Linked DNA regions of Drosophila melanogaster. The protein of the gene in region 1 interacts with the protein of each later gene in a pairwise test. Each region holds a gene or a part of one and is shown in the gene's direction. Other genes may lie near its edges. The genes, in order: Pect, yin, ND-13A and Mlc-c.

Evidence for each region.
Region 2: the proteins of Pect (region 1) and yin interact in a two-hybrid assay, tested with the Drosophila melanogaster proteins (one large-scale study listed by BioGRID).
Region 3: the proteins of Pect (region 1) and ND-13A interact in a two-hybrid assay, tested with the Drosophila melanogaster proteins (one large-scale study listed by BioGRID).
Region 4: the proteins of Pect (region 1) and Mlc-c interact in a two-hybrid assay, tested with the Drosophila melanogaster proteins (one large-scale study listed by BioGRID).

Annotation. Positions count from the first base shown.
Region 1 is NT_033779.5:13,199,819-13,210,773, forward strand, and holds the start of Pect (phosphoethanolamine cytidylyltransferase), read left to right. Parts: upstream 1-3,943; 5' UTR 3,944-4,371; coding exon 4,372-4,454; intron 4,455-8,291; coding exon 8,292-8,542; intron 8,543-8,602; coding exon 8,603-8,669; intron 8,670-8,846; coding exon 8,847-8,959; intron 8,960-9,617; coding exon 9,618-9,781; intron 9,782-9,841; coding exon 9,842-10,027; intron 10,028-10,092; coding exon 10,093-10,410; 3' UTR 10,411-10,955. Other genes in the region: CG16972 (uncharacterized protein), read right to left, coding at 1-836, 893-2,590, 2,726-3,182.
Region 2 is NC_004354.4:3,867,919-3,876,001, reverse strand, and holds the start of yin (yin), read left to right. Parts: upstream 1-4,062; 5' UTR 4,063-4,131; intron 4,132-5,457; exon of another isoform or gene 5,458-5,684; intron 5,685-5,775; exon of another isoform or gene 5,776-6,049; intron 6,050-6,183; exon of another isoform or gene 6,184-6,187; 5' UTR 6,188-6,237; coding exon 6,238-6,343; exon of another isoform or gene 6,344-6,399; coding exon 6,400-6,485; exon of another isoform or gene 6,486-6,503; intron 6,504-6,822; exon of another isoform or gene 6,823-7,029; intron 7,030-7,670; exon of another isoform or gene 7,671-7,982; coding exon of another isoform or gene 7,983-8,063; intron 8,064-8,083. Other genes in the region: CG2930 (uncharacterized protein), read right to left, coding at 1-100, 168-201. UniProt on the Drosophila melanogaster protein: Important role in absorption of dietary peptides. High-affinity transporter of alanylalanine. Dipeptide transport activity is proton dependent.
Region 3 is NT_033779.5:5,096,626-5,103,121, reverse strand, and holds ND-13A (NADH dehydrogenase (ubiquinone) 13 kDa A subunit), read left to right. Parts: upstream 1-2,919; 5' UTR 2,920-2,980; coding exon 2,981-3,112; intron 3,113-3,208; coding exon 3,209-3,385; intron 3,386-3,448; coding exon 3,449-3,520; 3' UTR 3,521-3,945; downstream 3,946-6,496. Other genes in the region: CG4230 (uncharacterized protein), read right to left, coding at 4,738-5,028, 5,088-5,412, 5,471-5,585, 5,887-6,089, 6,422-6,471.
Region 4 is NC_004354.4:5,616,474-5,623,204, reverse strand, and holds Mlc-c (myosin light chain cytoplasmic), read left to right. Parts: upstream 1-2,629; 5' UTR 2,630-2,677; coding exon 2,678-2,726; intron 2,727-2,918; coding exon 2,919-3,331; 3' UTR 3,332-4,069; downstream 4,070-6,731. Other genes in the region: POP1 ribonuclease P/MRP subunit, read right to left, coding at 1-481; RhoGAP5A (Rho GTPase activating protein at 5A), read left to right, coding at 4,528-4,639, 4,725-5,347, 5,419-5,896, 5,979-6,084, 6,149-6,314.

The DNA of each region.
Region 1 (10,955 bases):
AAAGCCGCCGATTAAGTTCAAGGGCGCCGGTGAGATGTGAGACTCCTGCCTGCTGTGTGATGGATTCGGGGGCGAGGCATTGCTTGTAGCCTTAATAATATAAATTGATGGCTTCGTCTCACGCGCCTGGCGCAAGCGTTGCTGCATGCTCTCCAGCAGCTTGGATTGGGCAGGTGCGGCAGCCTCGAAGATCTTAGTAAAAGCCGCCTCAACGGACTGAACCCGACCCTTCTCAGACTCATTGTCTATCTGATGTTTCTGATAGCCGTCGCCATCAATGATGGATCTATGACGTTGCGGCTCCTGTCCTTTGAGCGATGGACGCCTCTCTACATCCTTTAAGGACTTGGAACTGGCTATAAAGTCGGTGGTTTTGGGTGACCTCTTCGTAGAGCATTCTTCCTCTTCCGCAAAATAAGAGTTGTACAAGTGATTCAGTTTTCGCTTATGCTCTGCAGGCATTTGAGAGTTGAAATGGACATCCGCATCCCCCGCCATCCTTGAAACGGATTCTGATGTCTGAGGCGGGGAGGGTTCTTCTTTATCGGTGCTAAGCTCACTACTTGTGGTCAACGGTATCTTCTTGTCCTTATCCTGCTGCCTATCTCGCTCCCTTTCGCGCCGCTTGCCACGCACATCACTACGCATCCTGTCCAGTTGCTGTTGTGGTCTCACCCGCAGCGATCGGCGAGGGATAGTGCTGTTGGCTAGTTCCCTCATTGCGGTAGCCACGGCATTTGCTGTTGACAGTTCGGTGAGACCCAGATAGTTGCAGAATTCCTGTTGCTCATTCGGATACTTAACGTAAGGCCCCTGATTCCCTTCCATTTGCATCTCTGTAATTTAAATTAACCAATTAAATTTGCAATAAAATACAAATAAAAAGTCTTACGTTGGGGAGCCTGTGGCAGTTCCTCGTAGTGATACATCTGTGGTTGTTGGTTCATCTTTTGCTCCATAAACTGCTGTTGCTGTTGCATTGTTTGCACCTGCTGACGCATAACATCTAATACAGCTTTGGTTAGTTGTTGGTCTTCTGATGGCCCACGGTCGCTTAAGTTCGCCTGCATAAAATCAGTAAGTCCTGCCGGAGCAGTTGGACAAGGTTGAGCATGGGATAAGGATGCGTCTAAATTCGCAGCGGATGAACCCGCCGTTTGAGTAAGCGCGCTTCTCTCCAAGTCTGCTGTAGATGTTTCCTTGGTAAGGTTCCGCTGCTCGAAATTCGGTGAATCCGTGTTCTTTATGTCATCAACAACTGGCAGCACTATCTCTTCTTCCTCCGGCTGTTGATTATCCTGTAGCTCCTCTTCGGGTATCAATGTGGTGACAGAGGCTTTTTCCATGCCGACCACCTCGTAGCAATCGTCGTCATCATCATCTAGCACAATTGTCTCCTCGGTGGGCAGAATGTGCAAATAGCGACGATACACCGGCCGTTCCGCCGACTGAGAGCTGGCAAGCTCTTGAGTGGATTCGTCTGAGGTTTGCATGATTTCACGGCTGATCTTCTCCATATTCCGGACCAGTGCTTCACGGAATTCGGCAAAGTTAAGCTGTTTGAGTGATGCGGTAACAGCCTCATATTGCTTGAAGGCAGCTTCAAAGCCTTCCACATCCTCGACATCGGCCCACTCTTCCCTGGGTGCCGTTTCCCAGTTGGAGACTTTCTCGGCGGGACTCATCTGCGGCTGAGCCTGACAAATGCTTGCCAGTCTTCGATCCATAGCCTCTCCATGGAGCGTATTCTTCATCAGCGGCGGATACTTTCGCTTCAGTGGAGCCACTTTGGATGGAGAGCGGCCGCCCGTTAACTCATCCTCATAGTCGTAGTGGTCACTGGCGTTGGGCATGGAGGATGAGCTGACGGGAAATTCCGTGGGACTGCTGTGTTCGCGAAGCAACTTTCTTTGCGGATTATTTGGCAGCGGCTCCTGTCCCTCGAATGCTACAATGTCGATAGGCTGGGCTGGTTCTTCCTGGATGACTGCGTCCTCGCATTCTTCATCGTCGTGGTCCTCCAGTTCGTGATCATACACCTGACAAATATCTGGGCGTTCCTCCTCCATCGGTGTATCGTCTAAGAATGTGGCGTTTTCGTTTTCCTCCGGAGCCTCGTCGTCGACCAGATCCTGGTGCACTAAAGGCTGTTCTAGCGCTGCATCACTAAGGTACACATTGTTTCCAGCCGCCAATCGTGCCTCGGCCACACCCATATCCTCCACGACCTCCTCGATGTAGGCAGTCCCATTGAGACACTCATTCGCATCACTCTCCTCGGACAGCAAGCCCAGCAATGCACCGGTACCGTTTCCGGCCATCATGATGGCCCTGGCGAACTCCTGCTCGCATGCCACTCCCTGGGTAGCTACTATGATCTCACAGCAGTGTTCTTCTCCTAAAACGACCATGTTCTCTCCATCCACAGCCTCATAGATCACACACTGCTCCCCTTCTTCGGCCACCTGAAGTTCATGTTCAGCCTCATCATTCTCGTGGGACAGCATTTCGAACTGGTCAACATTGCCATTTGTCAGCAGCATGCCGGGGCTTAGTGCAATGCCCGGATCCTGGACAGATTCGGGTGAGTCTAAAAAACAAGAAAAGTATGCGATTGAGTGAGTTTACCATATTAGATATTTCATATTTTCAATTGGGATAAATGTTCATAATCAATTAAATGGAAGAGATTTCCTTGTATAGTTAATGGAACAGATTAACAAACCGTTGATCTCGATGACCTCGTGGCTGCTGTACGAACGTTTTGCCGGTGTGCAGGTGGCCCATACTGGGGCTTGGTGTGTCTCTTCGGTCATCATCATTTGCCGGCGAAGTCCGAATATTAAGGGTTCATTCTGAGGGACGAAACTGGAAGACGGCTGCTCCTCCGGCCAGCCCTTGAAGCCGCTGCCACTCGAGATAAAGCTGTGGGTGTCCGAGTCGTCGGAGATCACGTGCAGGTTGCTGTCCACGGCGGGGTCCAGATCTGCTCCCGTCCTCGAGGATCTGGTGACAGATGCAACAAGATCCGTGGGATACTCCCGATCCTCAGCCACGTCCGATGCGTCGCCTGGAGCTTCGCTGGCCGTATCTATCTCGTCGCCTTCCAGCGGCGAGTACCGGTTCAGTAGGTGTTCCTCCGCCGCTACGTAGGCCATCAGGCTGGCTTCTCTTCTGGACATCGCGTTGGTACGGGGAATGGGATTGGGATTATCTAGCCCTCGTCGACTCGTTTAGTAATTGTGGTAGGATTTCTTGTAAATTTAGCACGTGAAATTTAAAAAATATACTTGATGCTGTCTACAAAACAATGCCCGAACTGACTGTGGACGATCATGATTACATTATCATGGCTTGGTCGGTTTCCTTCGATTGTTATTTTTCGTATATCTGCGTGCTGTGCGTTGTATATTTCTTATTTGATAGGCTTAATATTTTAAGTTGCTTTATCCTGTGTGACCGTGGGAAACACCGTAGTATTATCTCACATCGCCATGGCCAATATGCCTCTTAAAATACCATCGGTATTATTTTTACAGTGGGATCAATCAATAAAATATACCTTTAAAATGAAAAAAAAAATTTTAATTGTGAATGTTATTAGTAGTGTTCGTTGTTTAATTCTATGACACTTTTTTTTTAATAATTGTTGTGACAATATTTACATTTATTTATAAACAAAACACTTTGTTATATCCTAAAATATTATACATTTCATTGGGGTGATCGACTCATAAGGATTTAATAGAGTTAATACCCTTTTAACGTATAATAATACAGATTTGTACTTGCTTAATATAAAAGTTCTAGCTTAGTAACATAAAATTTGCCAATTTAAAGTTATTCCCAATATATCTCGATCAGCTGTTGATGTTTACAAAATCCGCGTTAGCTGGTATTCATCGCACCAGGCATATGGTATATTTGGACAAACACCGATGCGGCCACTCTGCTCTCACGGTACTCGAAATTGTGAGAAAAGAAATGAAAGAATCTAAAAAAAAACCCAAGCTAAACACACCGCACTTACGCCCCAAAGAAGTTCCCATGCGCCCGCGCGCTGATAACGCAAGTCTGAGAATCTGAGACCAATTCCGCTCCGAGTCTGAACGTGAATCCGAGTCCGAAACCGATAACGAAAACTGAACTGAGTAGCTCGGTCGTGAAATGGGAATTGATATATAGCGGGCGTCGTCGTAGCTCAGAACAAATAACTTACAGCTCTCGAAGCGTGAACGTCGCTGTCGTCGAGTTTCCGCCTTCAAAACGAGCACTGAAAACAGAAACATACTCTCCGGAATCTAATGTTCGCCCGTTAGCCGGATTCTAAATTAAAATTAAATTAAATTGTGAAAATTCAATAAGTCAACGATGGAGGCAAATGGCGATACCAGCGCCTGCAATGGGTATTCGGACAAGCAGCGGAAGGATGTGCGCGTCTGGTGCGATGGATGGTGAGTCATCTACATTACATTTAGGGGCCTCCAGGAATTCGGTCCACAATGTCTAACGGTTCTTAGGGCAGCCCATTGCGTCACGTCGTTACTCACCGCTAACGGTAAAGTGAGTCAAAGCATAACCATTCCGCGTCGGTGCCATCGATTCCATGCCACACCACGGCCAACCGAACCCTACTATTTCAATTCCAATTTGGTTTCCAATACCAATAACCGTAATCAGTCGACGATAAACTAAACCCCATTTTTAGGCGTGCTAAGAAGCGTCCAGGGTTCCTCAATTGATTAGCAAATCTTTGTGAAACGGTGCCGTCTCGCTGCCCGTTCCAAATATCCACCCATTGCCGTCGTCCGGCTGAAATGTCTACATAATTCAGGTTCAAGGTCTCTCGGATCCGAAATGTCCATATTCTCCACGCTTGACCGGGACATTTGGCATTATATTTATATTTATACGCTATGCAATCTATTTATAATTGTACGCTTACAGTGGCTATTCTAAAACAGATTACTCAGAGAAAATGTTTAATTTGCCTTTTCCGGCGATACTCGCACTCTTTATGGCGCTTAAGCTAACAACAATACATATATCCCAAATTAGTTTGCACAATAATTAATTGCTATATGTGATAAACCGGGTGTTCGGTTCATCTAATGCATCTATGTATTTTAGATCCGCATATAGATACTATTGACGCACTTTGCCTTGTTTTGGGCACCATCAAATGGTTCTATAGGCATTGCGTTCCCCCATATATATATATATATATAATTATTTGATTCCGTGCAATGCATCATCAGAAACCGGTTTATCTTTATCGGTAATGACGCGTTAGACTGCGATATGGACGGATGGATAGATGGCCTACCATAACAAGTTTGCTTCATTGGGGGACGATAGAAATTTCCTCAATTGTGGCTACCGCCAGTCGGTAAAAATAAAAATATACCCATTGTTTATATGCGCCCTCGCTCTTTCTCTTATTTCCTTGTATTTCTACTCACCGTATAAACAATGGCACACGCCCAACAAGCAAATGTACATACATATATGTGCCATATACATGTGCTCTGGCTAACCCACTGTATCTGAACAGCCTGCCTTTCCTTCCGCTCTTCTGTTTTTGAGGCTTCAGATTTTCGGATGAGGGCTGCGTTTACGTGGCCCTTGTTGACTGTGGCTGCCCGCCGGTCGTCCGTCCGCAAACATCACGTGATTCTGGCATGCGCATGCCCTCCGCCTCGGCGATGGACCCCACACCCCTTTTGCACCACCATCATTGCCATTGCCTCGCCATTGACCCACAATGCTGTCGTCATCGTCTGGCGGTCTTTTGTGTGCCCAATTTAATTGGCATTTCGCTGGGCCTCTCCTGTACTGACTAAATAATCGCAAGGGATCGTCTTTATTTTAAAAGGGTTTTTTAAACCATATCCATTTATTATTAAGAGGTGGTTCAATCTTATAGTATACTTCTGCCTAAGCAAAAACATACATATGGCAAAACTTTTAGAATCCAATTGCGAATGCCCTGAAGCAAGATTAGAAAATGTCACCTAATTTATGGATTTAAACCTAAAACATATACATCATGCTCATTGGCATTTCCGGGTAATTTTGGCAGTCTATGCTCCCTTATGTCCATTGTCAACGGGTCACAGCTCCCTGTCACCAGTGTGGAAGTCCTCTAGCTGCGACAGATAAGAACGACCTACGTAGTCGTGCTCCAATCGCTGAAATTCCACATCAGCTGCTCATGGGCACGAACAACAAGTATAAACATAATATTTGCGTGGAATCTGATGGAATCTGATAACCCATCAGATGGGGAAAGCACGTATGTATGTGGGGCACTTGGACCCAAAAATCATTCTAATCAGCAGAGATTGATCATTGACGCAGGCACAAGTGCTTGGCTTGTCTCCTCCTTTCCACCCAAGTCAATGAACCTCTGCCAGTGGAAATAACAAATGAATGGGAAGCTCTCGTAATAAGAGAGTCCGGGGCCTTAAGGCGGGGCATATATGTACATGTGTGCTGTAGTATAAGATCTATGTATATGGCATACTTTACCCCACCAAGTCAATCCACTTTACTAGGCTCTGGGGTCCGGACGACAGAGCACAAATTCTACGGAGAATCGCGTGATATTTTTTAATCAGCAAACGGGCGTCGGCGTTGCTGTCGCTGGTGTTGTCGCTGCTTTTAGCTCACTCAATTGATTAAGCGGCCCCTGGGTCTGTTCTACATATAGAGTACAACAATGCTAATATGGGTATAGTATGTTCGGCACAGATTTCTTGGTGCGCTGCAAAAAAATCTCCGGGAGCAAAGGTTTCGCTTCGATTAATGAATGGCCCACGTTTTTACTAGCTGCTTTTTATGGTGGTGGTCATCTCTCCGCATTTGTTACTATCTGGGCAAGTCAAGGGACTAGCTGGCATAATCCATCTTTTATTTTTAGGCGTGCATGCAGGGGCATTGCATTTCATTTAAATTTCATTTCAGTTAAAGATCCAGTTTGTTTTGAGTACAACTATTTTCTTGGGAATTCTCTAATCTTCAATGGAAGCAGTACTTAAAATACTTTCCGTCTATCTATTTCAAATGAACTCCTCACAATCGATTACCGAAGAAACCGTCGATGGTGACGGTATTATTTCTTATCACCCGCCATTTAGTTAAGTGGTTACCTTTTGCATGTTATGTTAAAAAATGTTTGCACAAAGCCCGCTGGGTGAATCATTTTCCAAAAGAGCAGGTTTCAATATGAATTATTTTATAAATACTTACAATTACAATGTACCTATGGTGGAAAAAATAAATACCTTCATAATTGGTGTTAAGTGCAATTTGTGCAACGCCTCACGTCCCCCGGATGCTATTATCGCTTTCCCAAGCCAAACAAAAACCAGGCCAGGGCACGTGTGCCTATAACCATAATGCCTAGAATCGGCGGAGAATGTAAACAAGCTGAATGGCGATGTTTGCGTATATGTGGCCACTGAAAAGCTGACGCAGCAGCGTTCATAATTGCAATTAGAATTGCAAAACAACGAGCAGCAAATGCGGTTTTATTGATATCCCCTGTCCCGGTTGCTTCATCCATCTCTCTCTCGGCATTTTTGGCATACCCACTCTGATGATCGAGTCCAAAGATCAATCTCTTGACCAATGCTGGGCAAAAGTGGAGCACACAAACCGCCTCTATAGTCACCGGTGGTCAGTCCGTCAGCTACTGGTCATTAAAAGCACTCGACCAGACATCTTTGACGCGCTTCGACAGCGGTTTATGTAAACTATGTAAATGGCTTGCTCGAACCACTTTATTACTTTATCGTCTGGGGGTCATTAGCAGTACTGCTTCGACCTAGCTTCCACCATTAACTAAATGACCAGGATTCCAGCTGAGCGTCAAGACAAGTGGTTTTTTTTTGTTGGGCCTAAGGTTCATTATACGTATGTATGTATGCACATTCCATGCGATAATTGTTTTTTTTTTTTTTTTTTTTTTTTGGCAAGTCTCGAAGTTAAACACGGCTTATCTTGCGAGCTTGAAAAATTGCTAATTTTATGAAATATATGCCATTTTCTGAGTCATATTGGTAGAGGCAAGATCGTTTCCATTAGCTATTTGTCAAGGTCTCGCGGCAATCGTTGCAGTCTTAGTTATCTTAGAATTTATTAAACTTCCACGAATGGCAGACAACATTTCCGGAGGTAACTAATAAGGTCATGTTTGCTTGTTCACTGGCACGCGCTTGATAAAAAAAAAAAAAAACAATGTATCTATTCTTGTACTGACATATCTATCCTCCTTCCATCCTCAACAGCTATGATATGGTACACTTCGGACATGCCAATTCTCTGCGACAAGCCAAGGCTCTTGGCGATAAGGTAATTGTGGGCATTCACACCGACGAGGAGATCACCAAGCACAAGGGACCACCGGTCTTCACCGAGGAGGAGCGCGTCAAGATGGTCAAGGGCATCAAATGGGTGGATGAGGTGGTGCTCGGTGCTCCGTATGTGACCACACTGGATGTGCTCGACCAGAACAACTGTGATTTCTGTGTGCATGGAGGTGGGTAACAAATTTATGCATATATCTGGATGTTACTCAATCGAGTGTATTTGTTTGCAGATGACATTACAATGACAGCCGAAGGAGTGGACACATATCATTTGGTCAAATCAGCCAATCGCTACAAGTGAGTTTGAAAAGATATATTTTTAAGACATGTGGCAGTTTATTAAAAAGGGAATGCACACACACTTACCTTATGTACATCTTGCCTTAACCTTTAATAAGCTGCCAGTTGTCTTGTAAAGCACGTACTGCACATTTTTCCAATTACTGACCTTAAATTTTCTTATGCAATCCGCAGGGAAGTGAAACGCACAGCTGGAGTCTCGACCACTGACCTTGTGGGCCGCATGTTGCTCCTGACACGCAACCACTTCCGTCAAGGATCCGCGGAATATGATATCGAGAAAGAAGGTAGCTTTAGCTTGTTCCAACGCTTTTCTGGCACATTTTATTTTCATTTTAATGTTCCTAAATCACAGCGAGCACTGTGAATTTGTGCGCCAAATTCATTGTTTCTAACCATTACTAACTTTAATTTTAAGACTACTTTTTGTTTGCACTCTTTTTGTCTTTCATTTCCTGCTGTCGAACTTGTTTATTGCTCTTGCATGCTGTGCATAAATCAAAGTCGATCAATCAGTTACAAGTATGAACAATATTATACAGATATATTCAGTTTATACATGGGCTACGCACGATTAGTTTATGCATTTTCCCCAATAGATTCTTTTTAATTTGCCATAGTTGAACGCAAATAACGCCTTGGTTTATGGTTGCCCTCTACAACTTTACTATTTCTCTTCTTTTTATTTCTATGTACGCACTGTTAACCACTATCAAAAATATAATATAATGTATGAAACCTATGAAAACTATGCTAAATGTTTTGTGCGTGTGCGCGCCCGCGAAATGAATCCAAATGCCGAATGCCCAATGACCAACCTGCAATCAAAATATCCAAATCCGAATCCAAATCGAAATCAAATCCTAAACGTAAATTTTTGCTCTTAAATACACACTTTTGCTCATTTGTCTGCGTTGCTTTACAATACAAAACAAACAAAAAAAGTGTCAATTTTAAAACGACAAATAAAATCCCATCCAGGTTCTTCGAACATGGGTCAAGATTCGGCAGCCAAAAGTCCGTGGACCGGTTGTAGTCAGTTCTTGCCGACTACCCAAAAGATCATACAGTTCAGTGATGGAAAGTCACCGAATCCCGGCGATAAGATTGTAAGTTTAGCCCTCATTATATGTATATAATGTATAATTCATAATTGTCGGTATTTGCAGGTTTATGTGGCTGGCGCCTTCGATCTCTTCCATGTGGGTCACCTGGACTTTCTGGAAAAGGCTAAGAAACTGGGTGACTATCTGATTGTTGGCCTGCACACAGATCCCGTGGTGAACTCCTACAAGGGCAGCAACTATCCCATTATGAATCTGCACGAGCGCGTGCTCAGTGTTTTGGCCTGCAAGGTAGGATTGCAATAGATTCTTTTTTTTAAATATTATCTCATTTTAAAACTTCTTTTTTCCCCCAGTTTGTCAATGAGGTAGTAATCGGAGCTCCCTACTGTGTCACTGAAGAGCTGCTTGAGCACTTCAAAATCGATGTTGTCTGTCATGGACGCACACCCATTGCGCTTGAGAATGGCAAGATCGATCCATATGCCGTTCCCAAGACGCGAGCCATCTTTGAGCTGATCGATTCCGGCAACGAGATGACCACGGAGCGCATCGTGGAGCGCATCATCTCGCACCGACTGGAATATGAGCGTCGCAATCAGGCCAAAGAAAAGAAGGAAATCGAAGCCTTTGAGGCACTTCAACGCCAAAAACAGACCCAAAAGGCCGGCTAGCCGGAACCAGATTCCGACCTCTCACACTAGACGGATGTTTTTTATTTTCTAGTTGCGTTCTTTTAGTTTGTTTTATTTAGTTTGTCTTGTTTAGTATGTCGTCCCCTGATGATGGCGCTTTAATTTTTTGTTGCGTAAAAAGCGAAGCGACGCTGCCTGAGGATTCAGCGCACCGCTCTCTCGATTTCTAGTACAATTTTAGAATATCTGCACATGCGCCTTAATGATATAAGGTTATACACATAATTATATATTTCTAACACATTAACGTAGAATATTTAAAATCTAAATTTTATGTATGTAAGCTCAAAATTTGTAAATTCCCTTTAAAGTACGATGTAAGTGTGAGGAACAACAAAATTGTACGAATAGCATGTTATCCAAACTGTTGCCGAATTGAAAAGCCTTGTACGACTTGTATGTATATATATTCAGCAACGGAAGTAGGATGCCTGGATCAGGAAGTAGCTGCTTTTATCAAATGTAATCTCTGATACTTTGTCCTAATTTATTAATGCATATAGTAAGTGCGAGTTCAAGTTTTA
Region 2 (8,083 bases), on another chromosome or scaffold:
GCGGCAGCACTTGGACCGGAGCCATCGGGACTTGCAGGAGCTATTTCGGCCGCGGGAGAAGGCTCTGGTTCAGCCACAGGCTCAGCCGCTGGCTGTATTTCTGCGGACGAAAGAAGGATCCAGGTTAGTAATTCGAAATGCAATAATCGAAAACTTGGAGAGCCCACCCAGCAGGGGTACTTGCTCCGCCGGCAGCTCCATTTCATATGGCCACTGAGATTCGTTAGTGATCTGAGGATCGGCGACATTTCATCAGAAACCGAAACCGAGACTTGTGGCCTTGTGCTTGACACCTCCGCCACAGATAAGGACTGTTCTATATTTGAACGGGCCTTTACTTCAACGGCGGGCGTGTGAATTCGGTGGCCCGGCATAAATTATCCAGCCTTAGGCCCCGAGCTTTTACGAGGTTTACGCCAGTGGCGGGCGTCAGATAACCCAGCTAGGGAAGATAGCTCTCTCGGCGATCGCCTCCACACTTTGACAAACTGGCTGGGAGTATGGCTTTCCACGCCATAAACAACATGCTGATTACTGACAATGCTGCGTCTAAATGTCTGCTGGAGCTTTAATGGTCATGTCCATGTGGATCGAATGGTAATTGCAGCTGGTGCCTAGTGCAGCTAGTCATGGTCATGGCCATGTTCGGACAACTGGATCTGTATCTGTTCGATGGTTGATGATTCAGGAAGCGAACTGCGAACTGCGAAAGTCCCGAATGGCGACCAATGAATGGGCCTTATCTAACTGCGATCCAGAATCGGTTCGCAGCTAATCCATCGATGCTTTATCAGCGTTTATGACCGCTATTTGAGGCAGTAATGTATAGCAGCCATCACATGGCTCCATAAACCGTGGAAACAATGCTATTGCACGCACTACACTTCACATCAAACATCCATTAACATAAAGCGCCTTATCGCAGGGAAACAGAGATATACAAAATATACAAGTACCAGACGTGTACAGCATTGACCCGCTTCGGTGGCCGTTTGAAGTTGGTAGACCAGGCCTGCCACTCACATTCACACTCAAAACCACTCATTCATTCATTCATTTTGCAGCCGCTAATAGCGTAGTGTTTAGTGCCAGGGAACTGGCCAAGTGTCACCGAAGGACGGAAAATTGATCTCCAGACGGATCTCCACTCAATCCACTCGATTGGGCTCCATAAAAGCCGTAGACCAATCGGAGTCGCTGATACTCCGTAATTTTCAACAAGCTAATTGAAAAATGAGTACACTGAGGGCTTTACCTATAAATAATTAGATAAGCCTGGTATGCCCTGAGTGCAGTTGTAAAGTTTCGGAGGGAAAGTGCTGTGAAAGTGTTCTCAATTTCACTTTCTCAAGATTTCTTTACTTAAGCTCTAAGAGCCCTGGGACCTATAGATTGATTGATTGATTGATTGATTGATAGGTGGTTAGGATGTGCGTTGAACTATCGCTAACTGTGATATGCAGAGAAATTCTTCTGGAATTCGAGAACGGATGAACATAATTGGATTGGCTATATATAGTAGTGAGTGATTCTTTAATGACATTGCATATCGGCATTGATATCGCATAATCGTCGGTTTGTTCATCGATTGGCCATCAAATAGGTTGTAAATTTCACACCTACCCAATAACATACATAATCGCCATGAAGAGGGTCTAAAAGCATTCCAACTGATTTACAAGCGATTAGAACGAGCGCGATGTTTATTGGTCCAGCGAAATGATAAGCGCCGCAGGAGCTGGCGCTTTGGCCCAGTTTTAATTACAATTGCTTTTTACGGCGGCAAAGAAACAGAATTATTCAATGGAAGTTGTCAGATAGATAAGTTCGATGTTTTCGGTAGTGAGCAAAACTTTGATTGTCTTGTTCCGTTCGAAGCGGCAATTACGACCCCATATCGGCACCGCCCCATCCAATTCGACCGGGTTCTGCTCCGCATGGAGCAACCAAATACGAAATGGCAAATTCCAGGCGAACTACTCACTCACTAATTGCAAGCGGTTGCATTTACTACAGGCTCTCCCAGCGATTTGTCAGCAAGTGGTGTGTGTGTGTGTGTGTTTGGTATACCAAACGAAATCGTAATCGCAATTTTAGCCGCATTTGTTTTAAACACCCGCATTGGCAGTTTGCCTACGAATATGCAAATGAAGCCGGCGTCTGACATTGAAATGCAGGCGCACACAGTTGTACAAATTGGAAAATTTGCATCGGTGTAGGCAAGTCGAGTTATTTATTTTTTGAGATTTGAATAGGCAAGTATATAGGCAAGGTTGGTCCGTGCCAATTGACCAAGTTTGGCAGCTCTTTTTTGGGGACCGTCGAAAGTAAATCCACATTTGGACCTGCTCGTTGCTTGTGTTGGAGCCGCTCAAGTGGCTAAAACCCGGGGCCAGTCACTCAAAGTCCCTTATCAGAGCGATTAGATTTGCAAACTGCACACGCGGCCAAGAGAACCGATTATCGTAGTTGCGAACCTGGAGTTCTGAAAATCGTTCGTCCGTTGAGTCATAACTGGCAAGTGGAGATGTATTCCGCCAATTCTTATAACTTGCACGTTACCCAACGGCCACTGATTAAAACTGAAGGGTGAGGAGTATCGAAGTAAATAGGTGCAATAAACTAAATAAGAACACTATTGCAATCTATGGTGAGGTGTATTTTGTGTGGCTTATATAGCATGTCTAGAAATCGAAACAATGAGTAAAACTCGAGCCTCACAAAAATATGGGCCATAAATCTCGGTTCAGTAGTCTGTATAATCGCCACCCCTCTGTAAAAACTATAATTATGCATCTGTGGTTATTTTTAGTAATTAACAATACCATTTTTTTTATCCGTCATGTTGGGAACCCGGAGATCGCTTCACATCCGTTACGCGTCACTTGAAATCGAAGAAAAATATTAAATTTACTTTAAAAATCATTACGTTGTAGGAATGTGCATATGTATAAGATGCATAAACTCAACTTTCTTTTAATTTAACGAAAAATATATGCACATATATGTATATTACGTGTAAATTTTGTTTATTTTTTTCCAATAAGAGACAAAAGAGACAATAAAAGCAAAAAAGTACTGATCCTCGTCTGGAGTTCAATAAGCCCACAAATTGGCTATATTTAAGGGAAATTTCCAATTGCCACTGCGAAATAATTAATTAAACCAACAATATCGCAAATATATCTCATTCAGATTATTAATAGTTTTAATTGATTTTCTGTGTTGCAAATTGATTTTCAAACTGTATAAAAAAAGGAAGCTCTTTCTCTGGTAACTTTATCCTATTTTGCTGCATTGGCCTTTAAAAGGATTTTATTGTTTCGTAAGATCTTTTCATAATATAGACATCAGTGTTTTGATATTGCTTTTATTGTCTCTGGCGAAGCTTTCGGATCGTTATTGCTTTTATTGTTCCATTGCATTCGCGCACTCGTAACTCACATTAAAACATTTAACAACTGCAAAAAAAAAAAAATTGGAACGCACGTCGTTTCGGATGGGATCGGTTTTGAATCGGTTATGAATCGAGCAGGATTGAGCGACCACGTCCGCAAGCGGCGATCAACAGCCTCAGACTGAAGTCGACTGTGAACGAACTTAGCTAAGAAGCCGTTGACGGTTTCGCCGCTCGCCGCTTTGTCGCTTTGCCGCACTGCTCTGCCCGCTGCGACTGCGCGCTTGCTCGACGTCGAAGGATGGCGAAAGGCGTTAGAACGAGCGAGTAGTGGTGATAAGCCTAATCGCAATGTTATCGTATCGACAGGCAAGTGGAAGTATTTACGGCCCGGTGTTCGCTTACCCACAATGAATGGAGCCGCAGCTCGCAGCTCTCGCGATTGTTATTTATGGCCCACAACTACCCACCGGAATATCTGCTTGACATTTCACCCTTCCCCGCCCTTGGCCGCCTGTCAATTTACAGATCGCTGTCCATCACAATTGCTCCGCTTATCACACCTGCCACGCCCCGTCTGTCATCAGTCAGTGGGTGGGTGGTTGCTGTGTTGTGTATAGTGGGCGATGCAGATTGCGCACCATCATTAACTAAATATTTTCATCGCACCAAACGGTTATCTCTGGCCATTACTTGCACGTCTGAGGGATGGGAGCTTCCCAACTTTACCCACCGTAAGTCATGAATCGAAAAGTAGTTTAGTATATGGTCTAAAGATAATTATTTAAAGAGCTACTACGTCTATACGCTGATAAAAAAAAATCAACGCCAAAATAGAAGAGATAATGATGGCCAAGGAAATTTGTAGGGTAAGGAGATCGAGTCAGAATCTTCAATGGCTTGAACTGTGTGTTAATCGGGCAATTAATCATTATTAAATAGCCAAATGTCTTGCTGATATTGGTCGAAAAGTAACTAATCAGCCATTTAATTTTTAAGAAAGTACCCAAACAATTTTTAGAGCAACGCGTCCAGTGTTTAATACTAATGACTTGCATATTAACAAGCTACATGACTTTCTTTTTCAACGCTTTTCCGTGGGCAAACAAAGTTCATACGTATGTACATAACTTAAGACCGAAATGATTGGCAGTATTTTGGCAGCAATACAATAAATTAATTTAAGCTCCTTAAAATGATAGTAATAGGAAAATAAACTATTACAAATCTATTAAGTAGTTTTATGGCCGATAAAGTTATCACATCGGTAATAAGTTTTTGCGAAATAAACAGGCATTTCAAAAGACGTACGTACTTCATATCAGATTAGTCATAAGTATAAGTCATTCAAACGGTGGATAGGTTAATAAATACAACAATTATTTTTAATATTAAAAAGAAAACACCCTAAACTGGGCACGAACTACCAAATTATAGCGAAAAGATCACTTTTAAATGTCGAATTTTTGTCAAAAGTTATAATTCAGATTTCCGCCACCTTAAGAACAGTACTTTAAAAACAACATGGGAAATAGTTGGCCTTATTTGAAATACAATATCTCGTTGAACTCGTAATGAAATTTCTAATCCATAGGCATTCAAGGCCGGAAACTTTCGAAATTTGTAGATTTTCGCTGATCTTCATTATGTAACCCCTTATGAAGAAATGAGAAAATTTGAGGATACTTTACTGCGACGCCTTAAATAGGAAATCCATAATGTAACCTATACCATCTAACCCCGTTTGGCTCACCGCTTTTGATAGGCATCTAATCGGAGGTGGTCACAAAACTTTGTGGCATTTTTGTTTTATGAACTTAATCGCTGCGTCGATAGCTGCGAATAGTATTTATGGCCGCCTATCATTAATGCCATGCCCAGAAACAAGTATAATACATCTATTGGCCATAGCCAATCGGCCGATCTGCGATAGTCCGTAGCACGACATTGTTATTGTTATTGTTATTGTTAACCATTATTGCTCAACGAGAGGCCCTGACTGTGCGACAAGTGAACTTTTTGTTTTGCTTCTTGCTTTCGATTTTACGATTGTCACTTACTTGGCTACAGATTGCATGGTGTCTAGTCTTCATAATGCCAGCTATGCGATCGATTGAGTAACACTTAATTAAAGCCATCAAGGCATTGGGGGTCTGTGTGTCGATTGAGCGGGTTGCGTGTTGACACACTCAGACATCGAGTACTCGTATCCCCGGCCAGCTATTATGCATCCCGTATCCATGGATTGTGATGGCGTTGTATCTGGGCGAGAAACTCTTCGCTCAGCCTGGGGATTACAGTTAAGACCTTATCAATTAGCAAACTGGTGGTCAAGCGGCGATAGGGTATCTTCGATTAAATCGCACCTACCAACCTACCTAATAGGTGGGCCAATCGCACAACTCGGCACGCGGCTTACCGAATCGCACTTTGTGCCGATTAAGTAATCGGCCTGAAAAGGCGAAGCGAAAGCGAGATATAGACGATGTCCTTGCCTAAGATAGCCAGATAGTCAGATAGCCAATCGTACTCGTTTCTTAGGGCAGTGCTTCAAGGGGCTCCGATCTTCAGATATGGGTACTTATAGATCTCAAGATCTCGAAGGTCCGGAGTCCGATATCAATGATGATAGGCGATGAAGTGTTTGCCCAACTGATTAGATTTGTACATGAAAGATATAAAGACGTCATGTCAATTTCAAAATTACAATTATATTAAATATTATATTATAATACTATAAAGATCCCCCATAATTATTTATAATCTAAATAAATAATTTGTTATACTTAGGGTAATTGTCCGTTGCCTTAGCTGTCAGATATCCAGGCTACAGCTCAAGCATGCTTCATAGACAGCGGAATCCCGAATTCTCTAGCACAGCCACATCCATATCCAGCTCGAGCTTCGAATCCAGTCACCTGATGAGCAGCTCTGAATTCAGTCGCGGTAAGTGCATCACCAGTTTTCCAAAGACCACCCACATATATATGGACTTTCTGCAGCTTGGCACTTTGCCCGCTTTCGTGATAGGGATGATCGATTCCAGCACATCCACTTCGCCGAAGATGACCGCAACGGTTTCGAAACGGTGAGTCTGAGTGCTGGACTAAAATATAGTGCGAAATTGACAACCTTTCAGGCACATGTATCTATATATTTCCGGAACTGTGCAATCTTGTGGTATAGCGCGGCGTTTTCGTGAAAAACCTAAGCAATCTCGACGCGAAACAATAGCTAATGCGGACCATAAATATTTACAGCTGGATAGATTTATGGCTGCCTGGGAAAGTCCAACAAATTACTCAAAGCCGTAAAGAAAACAAACATAGATAACAGGCACTTGGCACTCGACCATTTTGCACGGCCGGGGGTTTAATCGCCAGATAGGGGATAGGAATATGATCGAGATAAGATCGATTCCGTACCTGCCAGCTCATTGGCACAGCTTAAAGAAAAGCGAGGGGATAACCACAAGATTCAGCGCAGATAACACAAGATAACGTTAAATCGCAAATAGGATATGGGTTTCTAGAACTATATTCTCTCTTTAAGAACGCCAAACGACAAACAGTTGCCACAACAATGGCTACAAGCTGGAATACTGTGGGTGCACGATAGGGATGCACATTCCACAAGCCTTCTGAAACAACAGGAAACACTGCTCGCACAAATTAGAAGGAATACAGCTGCTCCACGCCCGATTAGTGGACTCCCAGCGATAGTGCCCGTCGGTGGGCGGGGTGTCCACTAATTCAGCAAGTCGTCATTCCAACAGCATTGAACTTGACTGCCGCAGCTTTGCGCGAAAGAGAGGGCGGTGGGAACACCCCCACAGTAATAATAAGAGATCGCCGCTGCAGCTGCAATGATCTCTGCAGAGCGAGCTACACGGAAAGAAATATGTGGCTAACTTCTGTTGGCATTATACTTCGCTTTTTATTTAAACTGTTTGATGCTGTCGCTCTGGCTAAATAGGTTCACATATTGAATGTTATGTTTTGTAGATTACACACGCTTTTTTTTTAGTGTAGAGAGAACAGCTTGAAGCGAGAGCAGAGTTTATCTTGCTCTCGCTCTCGTACAGCCTCTCTCCACCACGCCCCCCCCCCCTACCAACCACCCCATCCACCTGTTTATCTAAAAATTTAATTTGATTTTTGTTCTTGCTCGAATTGTGTATTATTTCTTTTTTTTGGTTTTCGGTGTCGCGACTGCGCTGCCGACGTAGCCGCCGACTGAGAGTCAAGCTTAAAAGCGCAGCTTGCAAATGGACGGAGCATCATTTATTGTCGGCCAGCGACGGCGATCGTTTTATGGCGTCAACCTGTTGATCACCTCCCCCACAACCCCCTTTCATCAGTGTCTTTTTTATTGTAGTCCACTTCTGTACAACTTTTTTTGGCAACGCAAATCAGTGCAAAAACCTTTTGTGTCAAAACGTGTGCGTGTGTTTTCCGTTTCTCGATTTTCGGGGCACTTCGACAAAATTCCAAAGTGCCCAGCGCGATTAGGTGACTCTTGTTCGAGCTCATTAAAGCGCAATTAAGAGGTAGCCAAGAGGAGGCCAAGGCGAGCCAATGCCAAAATGGCAAGTGAAATAACTAACGGTAAAAACGGACAAAACGGTAAAAACGGACAAAAAGAGGAGTCCGATTCTCAAATTGCGGTAAGTGGCCCCACATATGT
Region 3 (6,496 bases), 8.1 Mb from region 1:
CATTCCGCCGTAGTATGCACCACCAGCACCTGGTGCTGGCTGCTGGTATGGCGCCGGTGATTGGTTACCACCTGGCCACTGGGGACGCGGATGGGGTATATTGGTGCTGCCGCGCTGACCCCTCACCTGGTTGATGGGCGCCGGCGACATGGCGTGTCCGTAGGGACGGGGTCCCGAGATTATCGGCGGCGGACTGGGCGCCGTTGTCCACGGCGATGGTGGACGGTACAGAAAGGACGAGGGCGATGGCGAGGCGGGATTGTGGGCACGCGGATTCCAGCCACGTGGTCCATTCCCGTACGGCGGCGGTTGCTGCCCGGACATTTTCGCAGCAAAACGGGTCAGACGATCGAGATCTTTCGGTTTGGGCTTATTTCGATTTTACAAGCGGTGTGGCTATGGTTTCACAAAGACTTTTGGACGGGACTATGGGATTTAATTTAACATATTACACTGGCAAAGGAAGAATTTAACACATATTACTATAGAATTTAATATTAAAATAAATTTATTAAATTATGGGAAATTTGTCTTTTGCACATTAAGTTTGTTTAAAGCTTTAAATGTCCTACACTTGCAGAGTTTGGTTTTCTTAGAGAAGCATTTTGTAATAAAGAACTGCAAACCACGTAACAGTTAACAAAGAATCTGCTGACCTATTTTTTACTACCCAACGTAGCTGTCCAAAATCATAAATCATCATTTGTTCATTAGCCAAAACAATCACCTGAACATCCAACCCAATTATGTCACTGAAATAAGCTAAAGAAACACAAATAAATCATGACCTATTCACGAAAACGGGTAGTCAGCTAATTTCGCCAGACTACGCAGATATAGGATATAGATACATAGATATAGATATGAATCCTAACGGAAGTGGTCCAAACATTTATACAATCTTTAAAAATGGAACTGACGTGAGTATATGCGGCTTTCAAGTCGCCAAGGAGTGTTTTTTACGCGCGCAATCATTTATTTTATTTAGTTGTCACATATATTAGTGAAAACATATATAGTTCAAAACTCAGCAATACATATTTACATTATGCTAAAGATCGAAAGTGAGCAAGGAGAGCAGAAAAGTGGGCATTTTTGGGGGATTAGCTGCTGTCAAAATTGTTTGAAGGCCTCATAAGTCTATGATATATGCCTGGCAGAGTGTGTGAAAACCTTGGAAAAATGTCTCAAAACATTGATTTCGCATTGGAAAGTGAAATTAGCTAAGTTTGAAATACATTCTGTACAGAGCGGAAAATTGAAATAATTGTCTGACAAGTCAATTGTGTCAAATTAGTAGATTTAACTTCTGTTCTATTCTGCAATCATATGAAATATTGGAAATAATAGATAAAAATTTGCAACTAAAATGCAATTCAATGCTCATCTGCTGTCATCACTACTGTCAATTTTTTCCCGAAAATTTTCCAACATTTTTGCACATTTTGTTTGTCATCTGCTTTCAATATTTCAGTGCCTTTATGGATTCTCCAAAACGAAAACCAAAAACTGCACAGTGTAGGCGTTTTGGGTGGTGTGTGGTGTGGATCAGTCGTCCACCATCGGCAACACTTAAAAAGCACACGTCCCCCAATTCAAGAATCCCGATCGCACCACCGCGATGAGGGAAAACTCATGCAGACTTTTCACTTTGCGTTTGCGGCGGCGGTTGTCGGTTGCTTTCGAATTATTCAAAAATAGAAATGAACTCAGTTCGTTAAACTTTCGGCTCGCTCGGATCGAAGGAAACCATGGCGAGAGCAAAAAAGATGCAGCCTCGCATGCTTCACTTTATTCTGGGACCACTTTTAATTGCCATCCGCTTGGTGGGATGTATCCCACTTTTATATCCATTCTATGGCGATTATGGTTCACTATTATTCCGGAGTACACATTCCATATTCTTTGCGTTCCATTTCTCTCGCACCGGAAAACGTGGAAAAACACGTTTTTTTTCTCCAACGAGCACTTCACTGCCGATTATGTAATCCGTGGAAATTTGTGTATTTTTCGAAGCTTTTTCAATGGGATGTACTAATGTACACAGGCACAGCAATTAATTTGTAACATTACACACCGTAAATTCGCTTTGATTTTACGCCAGTATTCTTAGCGCGAACAATTCCAATTTCAATTTCTATATATGCGTATATATAGAGGCGTGTATATATGCATGGATGGCCGGAAAGAAGACTTTTCAATGAAAAACTTTAGATGTTGTAGAGGAAGAACCGAGAACAACACTCGACGAGCACGAAACACTAACTGAATTGCCTCCCCAAGCGCCAGGAGGCACATCCCCGATCTTTGGGGAAATTTCGAAAATTTTCGAAATGCTGGCTGCTTCGGGAAATGCGAACGAACATTTGGCTCTCGGCATTTCTTGCCGGCTTTTCTTTTTGTGAATCGTGCCGCAAGGGAAAACATTTCTCTTTCTTCGTCTTTTGTTTACATCCCTTTTTTCTAAACAACAACGATCAAGTAGCGCAAAAACTTTGGCATTCTAAAGAGAATAGGTAAAAAAAAGAAATTTATGCCTCCTAAAAAACTTAATCTAAAAAAGTAAGTGCACTATTTGTCTGTACGCTAGCTTTTTTTGAAATCAAGTTAATTGTTAAAATGGAGCCACTACTTTGACAGAATACTTGTACAATTTATAACATCTTCTGAATTACAAAAAACCGGTTAAGAGAGTAACAAAACTCAAACAACCTATATTAAATATTATTTCACTGAATTAATAAATAGTATTCCCTAAAATTTTATTAATTTATTCTTAATTTATTATAGACCAATTGTTTTGAAGAAACTGTCAAATAAGTAAGCTATTTTTAAATAACCAGTGTGACCGCTGATCGGTAAATGTAAACTAACATCTGCGCCGTTAGCTTGCTGTTAGGCCAGCTGACGCTGTCAGCCTGACAGTTACAGGGTGTTTCGTGTCAGAATACATTTTGCGTACAAATTTTTGTGGTAAAAAATGGCCAGCAAGCAATTGGTAAACAATTTGTCCAAACTCGGCCTTCCGCGACAGAATTGGATGTCCCCACTGGCCAGCGTTCGCCACTCCAGCTGCCGCGGCGACATCGAGAAGGTTACACACACCGGACAAGTAAGAGAAATTGGAACTGTTGACCCGATCATCCTGCGATTACGCAAACATTTTGTGGAATATGTACGAAAATATCTAAATTAATACATATTTCAGGTGTTCGATAAGGAGGACTACCGCAATGCCCGGTTCGTGAACGCCAAGCGGTATGTGAACGAGAACTGGGGCATCAAGCTCATCGAGGAGGTGCCACCCAAGGAGTGCACCGAACGAGTTGTCTTCTGCGACGGCGGCGATGGTCCTTTGGGTCATCCCAAAGTGTACATCAACCTGGTGAGGTCTTGAGCGGCTATTAGAGGCATACACTTGACTAATTGGATCATGTTTTGTTTGCAGGACAAACCCGGAAATCACATCTGCGGCTACTGCGGCCTGCGCTTCGTCAAGAAAGATGACCATCATCATTGAGGAAACCATAGTGGCCAATAGATTTTAGCTAAAACACCTTTCTATCCTGTTGCGCTAGCTTGAACTAAACTAAACTAAATAAAATTAGAACACCAAAAAGCTAATCATATGAAGGAGTACCATAATTATTACTCTATCCCAATGGATAAATCAGCTAAAAGCAATCTTTTCCCGAAATGAAAGTCAACTCTTTTTTTATTGCACAACACTTTATTTGCATGTGTCTTGAATGATTACTAATGCGTGCATGCATTGTGTCCTCTTAGAAAGTTAAATCTGATCAAAATCAACTTAAGCTTTAAAGTTTAGTAAAACTAATAAACAAAAACCGAATTGTAATTCAAAATACTGTGAGTTGAACTCGGGACTGCTTGGGCAGAAGCCAGATCAATTCACCGCGCGGGTGTTTTGTGTTTTAAGTGTATAAAATGTTGAGTAAAACTAACAAAGTTAACGCAATCGTAAATAGTAAATAGTATATAAACTTGCTTTGTTTGTTGCCTGGTAAAGCGGTAATGTATTGTATAGTGGTTTCAATTTATCATTTTTCGCTGTTAAATCACTACGGGCACTTTAGATGCTGACGATCGCAGCATTGAGACACAGATAGTACCACGAAAAAACAATACAATAATACAATAACTGCCGCCGCTTAGGCGATTGTTTGTTGGTTGCTTTTTGCTTTGGATGCCAGCCAGCGCTCTGCGGGAAGAATTGGAGCGGACGACTCGAAAGTCTACCCACCATTCCTGCTCCTGTGTGGCCTGCTCCTGCTGCTCACAAAACCGAAATGAATCATACGTTCACACCGCTCAACACGAGCCATCTCCGATACCAATTCCATCTCCAACCGTCGGGAGTTCGAGCTTGGCCTGCAGAGTGCCCTGGATCTGGGAACTGAAAGTGCGGCGCCGCCGGGTGGTGCGCCAGTCTCACATAATATATATGCCCAGCGGATCAATGATCGCTGTTCAATAAAATCATGGTCAATAATCATCGTCGTCATCATCTGTTGTCTCAAGTGCGTTTCATCTAAAACACCAAACACTAAGGAGAATGTAAACTAAAATGTAGTAGGTTCTAATTTGGATGTTGTGTGGATGCGGGACTATGTTGCCGACGAATCGCTTTAGCCTATCTTCGTACTGTTGCTGTTGTTTCTGTTGCTGCAGCAGAGATCGCTTATCTTGATTGGGGCAATAGTTGTTCACCACTGGTCACCAGAGGTTCCGTGGCATGGCGTAGCCTTCTTTTGTCACGAATATGTTGCGTTCGCCACGAGCTACGGCCAAATCCTCCTCCTTCTGCTGCAGCTGCTTTCCACCCATACCAACTGTTGGAGCTCCGTCATCGTGGGTGACAATGGTCTCTTTACGCCCGTCTTTCATCCGGGTTACGGTGGTGGTCTTGTGACCAGACGAATCCTGAGTAACCTTGGTGGTCTCATAGCTGCCATCCGGCTTGCGAACAGTCTTGGTCATCACGCTCTGGCTGAATAGCTTGGGACCCTATCAGAAAAGTTTATATAATGACTGTTTATTATAGGGGGGAATGAGATCTTTCCCACCTGATAGTTGCCGTCGAATACGCCTCCGAATGGAGACATTCCACTACGCGGCAACATCGGAGTCATGGGCGTCATGATGTCCGGCTTGTTGTTCCTAGGCGGACGCGGCGGACGAGCATACGACTGGCTCTCCCCATCGGCGGAGATGGTACCATGAATCCGGCCCATGATGATCTCCTCATCCGTAAGCTTGGCGCGCTGAACGCCCTTGCGATAGCCATGCTGATTCGATGGCAAAATGTTGCCAATCACCTGGTCGCCTGACTCAACATTCTCCCCCGGATTCAGACGCTGGATGAGCGAGTGCAGCTGGTCGGCATAGATCCTAAAAGAAATGAATGCTTTAGTGTGAACACGTTTGCTGATTTAGTATGTTTACTTACTCGCCATCCAAATCGGTATCCAAAGAGAAATCCTTCTGCTGCTCAAACTTCTTCAGAATCTTGCTCTCAAAGCCCGGCTTCAAGAAGTCCTCCTTCAAGTCGCGCTCAAAGCCATCTGCATAGGTCAAATATAGTAAATAAATACATAGAAATAATATATAATAATTATAGCTAAGAAAGTACATATATTTTCAGACGTTGTGTATGCAGGTTACTGCAATTACTTATTGGTTTTGTGTCATTTAGCAAATAACAAGTGAACCGAGCAAGTATAATTTGTTAATATAGATCGATTTTCTTCGACTAATGGCTTGAATTGCTAATGCTATCATTAACTTTAAAAAGGGGCAATGCATGTGTCAATTTTAGGACTGTAATTTACAACCCGAAAAGGGAATAAAAATACTTTGGTTTACCCCACTTACCATCCTTGTCGTTCAGAGATTCCAGGAGTCGTTGCAATTGGCTCTCGAAGTGCTTCTGCATCTCCAGCGGACTGGTGAAGACCTGGAAGGCGAACTTGCGATCGTCGTCGAAGAGTTCGTCATCGGTCTCGGCCTCCTCGAACCATTGCGGCTTCCGGAACTCATCCTTGTTGGAAGCGGAAACGGAAGAGCTGCTTGAAGAGAGTCGGAGAGCGAAAGATTGGAAAAAGAACGGGGATGAGAAGGGGAATTTGGACTTCCAACCCTCGGGTGCATCAATACGCAGCCTCCGTTTCCACGGAGAGCAGCGGGCGCTCTTCCTCAATCGCGTACGTGTGTGTATCCTGGCGAAAATGTATCTATAATGGCAGGTGCCTGGTTATCGATCCATTGTCGCCTGAAAAACGCCGCCGCATAGCTGCTGGCCCCCCCTGCAATATTTTTAGACTACGTTCCCTGGCCATTGGGCACCCCCGAAACTTGCATAATGCCCACAAATCCATAGCGCCCACCATCCACTACTCACTCCGGCTCCTTTGCCGCCTCGGACTTGAACATTTTCTTCAGAATATCCATAATCTGCTGCTTGATACGCCGATAA
Region 4 (6,731 bases), on another chromosome or scaffold:
CGGCGCTGGCGCGATAGCAAGCGCGGTAGGTCTTGTCGCAGCTGGCGTAGGGCAACCGGTGGCCCCAGCGGTCAACCATGTGGAATCGCTTCGCGTGCCAGATGTGCGTCTCCAGCCAGACGTGCCGCCTCTGCCGGCGCACGTACTCACGCATCAGATTCTTGGGTCTCCGGCGGTACTTCCTCGATGGTCGTTTCCCATTCACCGGCTGGTTGCCGCTTTTGCCCATTTGGGACTTGTGCGCCTGTCGGTACTTGCGCGGCAGTCGCTTGGGATGGTGCGACATGGCGCGGCGGCGCATGTGCTTGGGCAGCGTCTGGAAGATTAGCTTGCTGCTCCGCTGCGTCGTCTCCTGGCAGTCGGCCACCAAATTGCGAATCTCCTGCAGCGCCTCGGCCGCATAATGGTACGTGGTCACGTGCGACGGCAGTGTGACCCGGCCGCCCAACGCAGCGTCGTACTCCACCTTCTGTGTGCTCATCGGGGACTAACTAATTTGGCCAGGATCCAATGCATCCAAAATCAAAACAAATCGGCGGCACGTGTGGCGGTTTCTTGTGAAACGATCTGGCAGCACTGCTCGATTTCACTAAACTCCCTGCACTCATCGATGTTGTCGCACCTATCGAATTTCGAGTGGCCTATCGATTGCGCCCACTATCGGCGACCACTAACACCAACAACGTTTCAGAATTTGCTTGCGTTTTGTTTCGACGTCGAATTCAATATTCAATATTTCGTGTATTTTGTGTTGTTTTCCCTCAGATAGCTAAAAACAAATCGATATGGTGAGTGCAGGCTGTTTATTGCGGCGCTGTTTACTGTTTACGATCGCACTGGAAGTGCGCTTTCCGGCGCCTTTGGAAGCCAGCACTCAAGTTTCCTTCATTGTTTTCCTTTCTTTCCCCTCTCTCTCTCCCCGCAGGCAGCTTATACCGAGGATCAGTTGGCTGGTGAGTTGAATCGCACGAGGACCAGACGGGGTCAAGTACCAGGAGTCAAAAGTCGGGCAAATCGCATATATATATATATACAGATATATATATGTGTATAGTATTGATATGTGCGCTGGCACCTAGCGCCCTCTCCCTCCCACTCCCACACAGCATTGGAATGCGGGAAAGCGATGGCACGTACATTTGTGTGGTGTGCATGAATCATTGATAAAGCAAATACGCTGGAAGGCAGACGGCAGCCATACGAATACGATCGTGACTCACCTAAAAAGCGGCGAGAAAGTCCCAAAACCGAAACACTGCAATACCCTGTCCAAAATGCTTTAATTAAGAGCAGCTGTAGGCAAAGTTTGACGTGATGACTTCGAAAGACATCCGAGATCAAGCTGACAACACATATCGAAACTGTGCTACTTTTGGGCTTTGATCAGCAGATTATGTTCGTCCAAGGAATAGCTTCATAGAATAGCGACACACGGCTGTGTACCAAGTTTCGCATTAATATCTCTTGATAAATCCGAGTTCTTTCGGTTATCCGAAACCCACACCAAGTTAATTGATAATATGCATAGCAGGCAACAAACTTATTCGACCATCAGCTAGTTAGTTTCTGCCAACAAGCTAGTGCTAGTCTTAAGCTAGTGTAAACCAAGTTTGTAGGTCATCATAAGAGCAGTTATTGTAAGACAGAAACTGGTCGCTTATAATCATAACCAACACCTCGGTATGAGTACAAAAAAAAAAAAAAAACACTGTTTAAGCGAAAGGAAGTGAGCGATAAAATATAGATAACAGAGCGGTCTAATGGGATAATCACCCGGTTTTCTGACTCGCCGGCTGCTCGTTTCAAATAAAACTGCAATTGCAGTTGCAAAAACCGAATAGCCATGCGATAAGAAGCCAGTCAGTTGACAAAAAAAAAAAAAACCAGCTTCCATTTACGGAACATCACCTTCTCTCTAAGTAAAAATGCAACACGATTTCGATTCCATGGCGAATCAAATCGAATCGAATCTTTACGCAATCCCCTCGTTTAACCTAATCAAAGTCAATGGTCTCTGATAATTCCGTCATGCTGGATTCGTGACACTCTGACGTCAGCGTTCAACCGCATATGCCTATGTACGAGCCATATACCATATATTTATTTTCCAATTCCAACTTACCTTGTTGCAATCTTTAGCCAGCCGTCGACGTTTTGTCATTGCCTAAAATGGACAAAAATGTGCTGGATTCGTTTGTTTTTATTGCCATTTTTGGATCTCGTATTCGCATGATAACCGAACACATCCCAGCAATTCATCGAATGGTGAACACTCTAGTGCTCAGATCTTTAGAGGATCTGAAAACAAAATATTGAGCCCAACCACAATGTTCTATTTACGCACGTAGATCGCAGAACTTTTGCAGCTTGGTTAACTTACACCATCACTTGCTTAAATCCAACTGCACGCGAAATGGACTTGCGATGTCACGCCTCGAAACGAAAAACTTTGAAACTTAGGATTTCTGGGTTGTTTATCTTACTTGCAAGCAGGCAGTTCCCGGTAGAGAAACGAAGTTTGCCAGCGACGTGAGGGTATACCATGGCCAAGGAAGGCGGAGTGGTGGCTTGCATCGGAGCCGATCCGATCCGCTTCGATCCGATGGCCAGCCAAATCCGGGCAGGCGGAGTTTCAGGCAGTCAGTAGCTGGCAAAACGGTCATCGGAGTGGTTCAATATGTATTACTATACGGCGCATGTGAAGCAAACCTTTACCACACTGGAAGGTGATCCATTTAGCCATTTAGTGGGTGGTAGAAAGCTATAGTTCCCCCTCACATTTCCATACGTTTATATGTAGTAGTTATGTAGGTATTATATATTATATCCCTTATCGAAGGGTTCTTGTAAGTTGTAACGATAATAATTAAGATTTGTAAAGCATCTGCCAACAATCAGCACGCACTTTCCATTCGCAGAATTCCAGGAGGCCTTCAACCTGTTCGACAACCGCGGAGATGGCAAAATTCAGCTGAGCCAGGTGGGCGAGTGTCTGAGGGCCCTGGGCCAGAACCCCACCGAGTCGGATGTCAAGAAGTGCACCCACCAGCTGAAGCCCGACGAGCGCATCTCGTTCGAGGTGTTCCTGCCCATCTATCAGGCGATCTCCAAGGCCCGCTCGGGCGATACGGCTGATGATTTCATCGAAGGACTGCGTCACTTCGACAAGGACGCCAGCGGTTATATCTCCTCCGCCGAGCTGCGCCACCTGCTGACCACGCTGGGCGAGAAGCTCACCGACGAGGAGGTCGAGCAGCTGCTGGCCAACATGGAGGACCAGCAGGGCAACATCAACTACGAGGAGTTCGTGCGCATGGTCATGAGCGGTTAGGATCAGACCGATTCTAGCTGTTCAACTGTCCAGCGACACGACAATAGAAGCAACGCTATATCCAACACAATACAACACACCAACACTAAACACACCTGCCAAGCTACACATAGATGAGCCGTTCATTCCGCCAGAAGTTCCAACTCCGTGATTCCAACTTAGCCATTCTTACCCCGGCATTAAAGCATTCAAAACCAAGGACAACGACCAAGGATATCGAGATATAACAAATACAGGGGAAAGTGCTTAACACAAGCAGCTAATAACTGAAAACTAAAAACTAAAACTACGAGATTGGAGCTATTCCCACTTCCAAAATTAACCAACGATGTAGACATAGATTCATGATTAACCATAACTAATTACCGCGTCTGTGAATGTGCGTATTATTCTAAAATTGACACTAGAAGGTTAATCAGTAATTATCAACTAGTGCAGTCGTTCTTTTGTACCAATCACACTCGATACATTTATATATATATATATATGAATTACCATAGTATACTTCAATGGAAGGAAGGAAAGCCAGAGTATCACGAAAAAGTATTTCTAAATTAAAGCTGATATGCGTCGGTGGCGTGTGTCCGTATTTAAATGCGCATTTTGAAGTTTTACATGTTTATTTTTTTTTAAATAATTTAATATTTGTATTTAATAAATAATGAAATGAGATCCAATGAATGTGTAGGTCTTTTTACAAAAGAAACGTACTTAAACTATTAAACCAATTGAAACCTTAGCTCTTGTTTTTATTTCTTGTTGAAAGCGGATGGCAATCAAATAAATGGCTGCTTAAAATTACGACTGATGCAAATTTTTGAAATATTTAGGAAACTTAACTGAAATTAAGCAAATTGTTTGTGGTATTTTTTGCGAGCTCTTGTGCTCTGAGCTTTCGGACATTTTTAAACTGATTATTAAGTGAGAACCACTGCATACTACAGTATTTACAAAACAATATAATGTAGTTTAGCTATCAATAAATTCAATAAGCTTACTATAAAGTTTATCTAAAGTTATAGTCATTTAAATTTAGTATTCTTCCGACTTTAATACCGCGCTAATTTTCGCCAGTCTGGCAGCTCTGCTCGCTCGGACAAAATTATTTGTATACTTTACTTAATTGGCTGCATTCCTTAATTATTCGCCGCCTACTTAGTGGCTTTTGACCAAGTGGCCTGCTAATCCGAGGGAGGATGCCCCGGAACACGGAGGCGGGCGCCGGAAATGCGAATACCGGTGGATCCGGCGGAGTAGGCGGTGCCCCCGAGCCCAGTTCTCCGGTTCAGAAGGTTTGGAAGCCGGAATGTGAGTGGAGAAGCACCTCGTATGCCACCCACAAGCTTATGATATGACTAACCATCCCCTTACCCATTTACCCGCCCACGCACAGTGTACAAACTGCAGCTGGAGGCACCGGCTCCATGTCCACTGCGCTGCCAGCGAACACTGCCCCTTCCGCCGGCGAAAAGCACGGCTGAGGCCGTGGAGGCCAATAACTTGGCGGGCAGGCTATACGGCTCCGAGTACCATGGCCTGATGGGCCACCTGGAGGCGGAGCAGCTGCTGGCCAATGCCCGCGACGGCAGCTACTTTGTACGCCGGAGCCCCCAATCCGATGGCTACTACACGCTTAGCCTGCGCTTCAACAAGCGACCCAAGCACTACAAGCTCCTCTATAAGCCCGGCGTGGGACACTATCTGCGCGGCCAGGACAAGCGCTTCGACACGGTGCACGACATGGTCGCCGACGGGCTGATCAACTTTCACATGCAGCTCCACGCCAGTCCCATCATCCAGCAGATTAACCAGCAGACCAAGAACTGCTACCAGCAAAGCCCATACATGACCTTAAATGGCCGGAAACTTAGGGCTCTGTCCAATGAGCTGGGCAAGGCCGCCGCCAAGGAATCGAAGGAATCGCCAGCCGAGGAGAAGGAGCAGAAGCAGGAGGAGCCACCGCCTCCAGCCGTGGATCCCATGCCGCTGGTCTACGAGAAGCCGCATCACTTCAAGGTGTGTGTTCAGACATAAGAAGCCAACTATAAAGGATCATAGCATCTAATGGAAGATTCTGATCCAAACAGGTGCACACGTTTAAGGGGCTCAATTGGTGCGAGTTCTGCGCCAACTTCTTGTGGGGATTCACCGCCCAGGGCGTCAAGTGTGAGGCGTGCGGCTTTGTGGCGCACAGCAAGTGCTCCGAACTGGTGCCGCCCAAGTGTGTGCCGGATCTGAAGCGCATACGCGGCGTATTTGGCACGGATCTGACCACGATGGTGCAGCTGGAGCCCCACCACCAGATACCCTTCGTGGTGCGCCGCTGCGTGGAGGAGGTGGAGGCCCGGGGCATGCTGCAGGAGGGTATCTATCGGGTCTCCGGCTTTGCCGATGAGATCGAGGCACTCAAACTCGCCCTGGATCGCGAGGGCGAGAAGACGGACATGTCGGAGACGGCGTATGGCAATGTGAATGTGATCGCCGGCACACTGAAGCTCTACCTGCGCCTACTGCCCGTGCCGCTCATCACATTCCAGGCGTATCCCAGCTTTATGGCAGCAGGACGTGAGTTTTATGGTGCTATGCTGCACCTCATCCCATGCCATTCACATCTATCTATCTCTCTATCTATTTTGATCTGTTGCAGGCACCGGCAAGCAGGCCGAGCAGCGCCAGCTCATGGCGGAGGCAGTGCGTCGCCTGCCGCCCGCCCACCACAGCTGTCTGCAGTACATGCTGGAGCACCTGAAGCGGTGAGTGTGACTGCCAGCATGGTCAATGCGATCTTAAGTAAAAAAAAAAACCTTCTGCCCGCAGGGTGGCCTCCCACTACGCCGTTAACAAGATGAACGAGCACAATCTGGCCACCGTATTTGCGCCGACCCTGATTGCCACGCCCCAGCACATGACCAACCTGACGGAGGAGATCTTTATGCTCTCCTCGCTCATCACCCACTGCAAGACTATATTCGCCACATCCTGAGGACGAGGTCATCATACCATGCTGCCCATACCAAGCCAATAACTAACTTTATCATCAATTAGAGGAGCACGGCCAAGCGAATCGCGTCTGTGCCCACCTGTCTCTTTCGAAGCGAATCCTTAACTTCCACCAAAAAAAAAAACTTTAGCCTAAGATCAAAATCGATGATTTTTATACAAACATTTATATGAAAAAAAAAACAAATCAACCAGTAGAAAAAAACGAATTTAGCGATTTTTCGAAATATTTTTGCGCTAATTAAATATGCGTCACAATAAAAAAAAGGATATTTATTATACATATATACAAATACAAATTCAAATACCTATGTGTATTAACTTGACAAACTTATTTGCTCGCTCGTTATTTTTTTTTTTTGCTCGTTTTTTTTTCGCTTTTTTTTTAACGGGGCAGGCG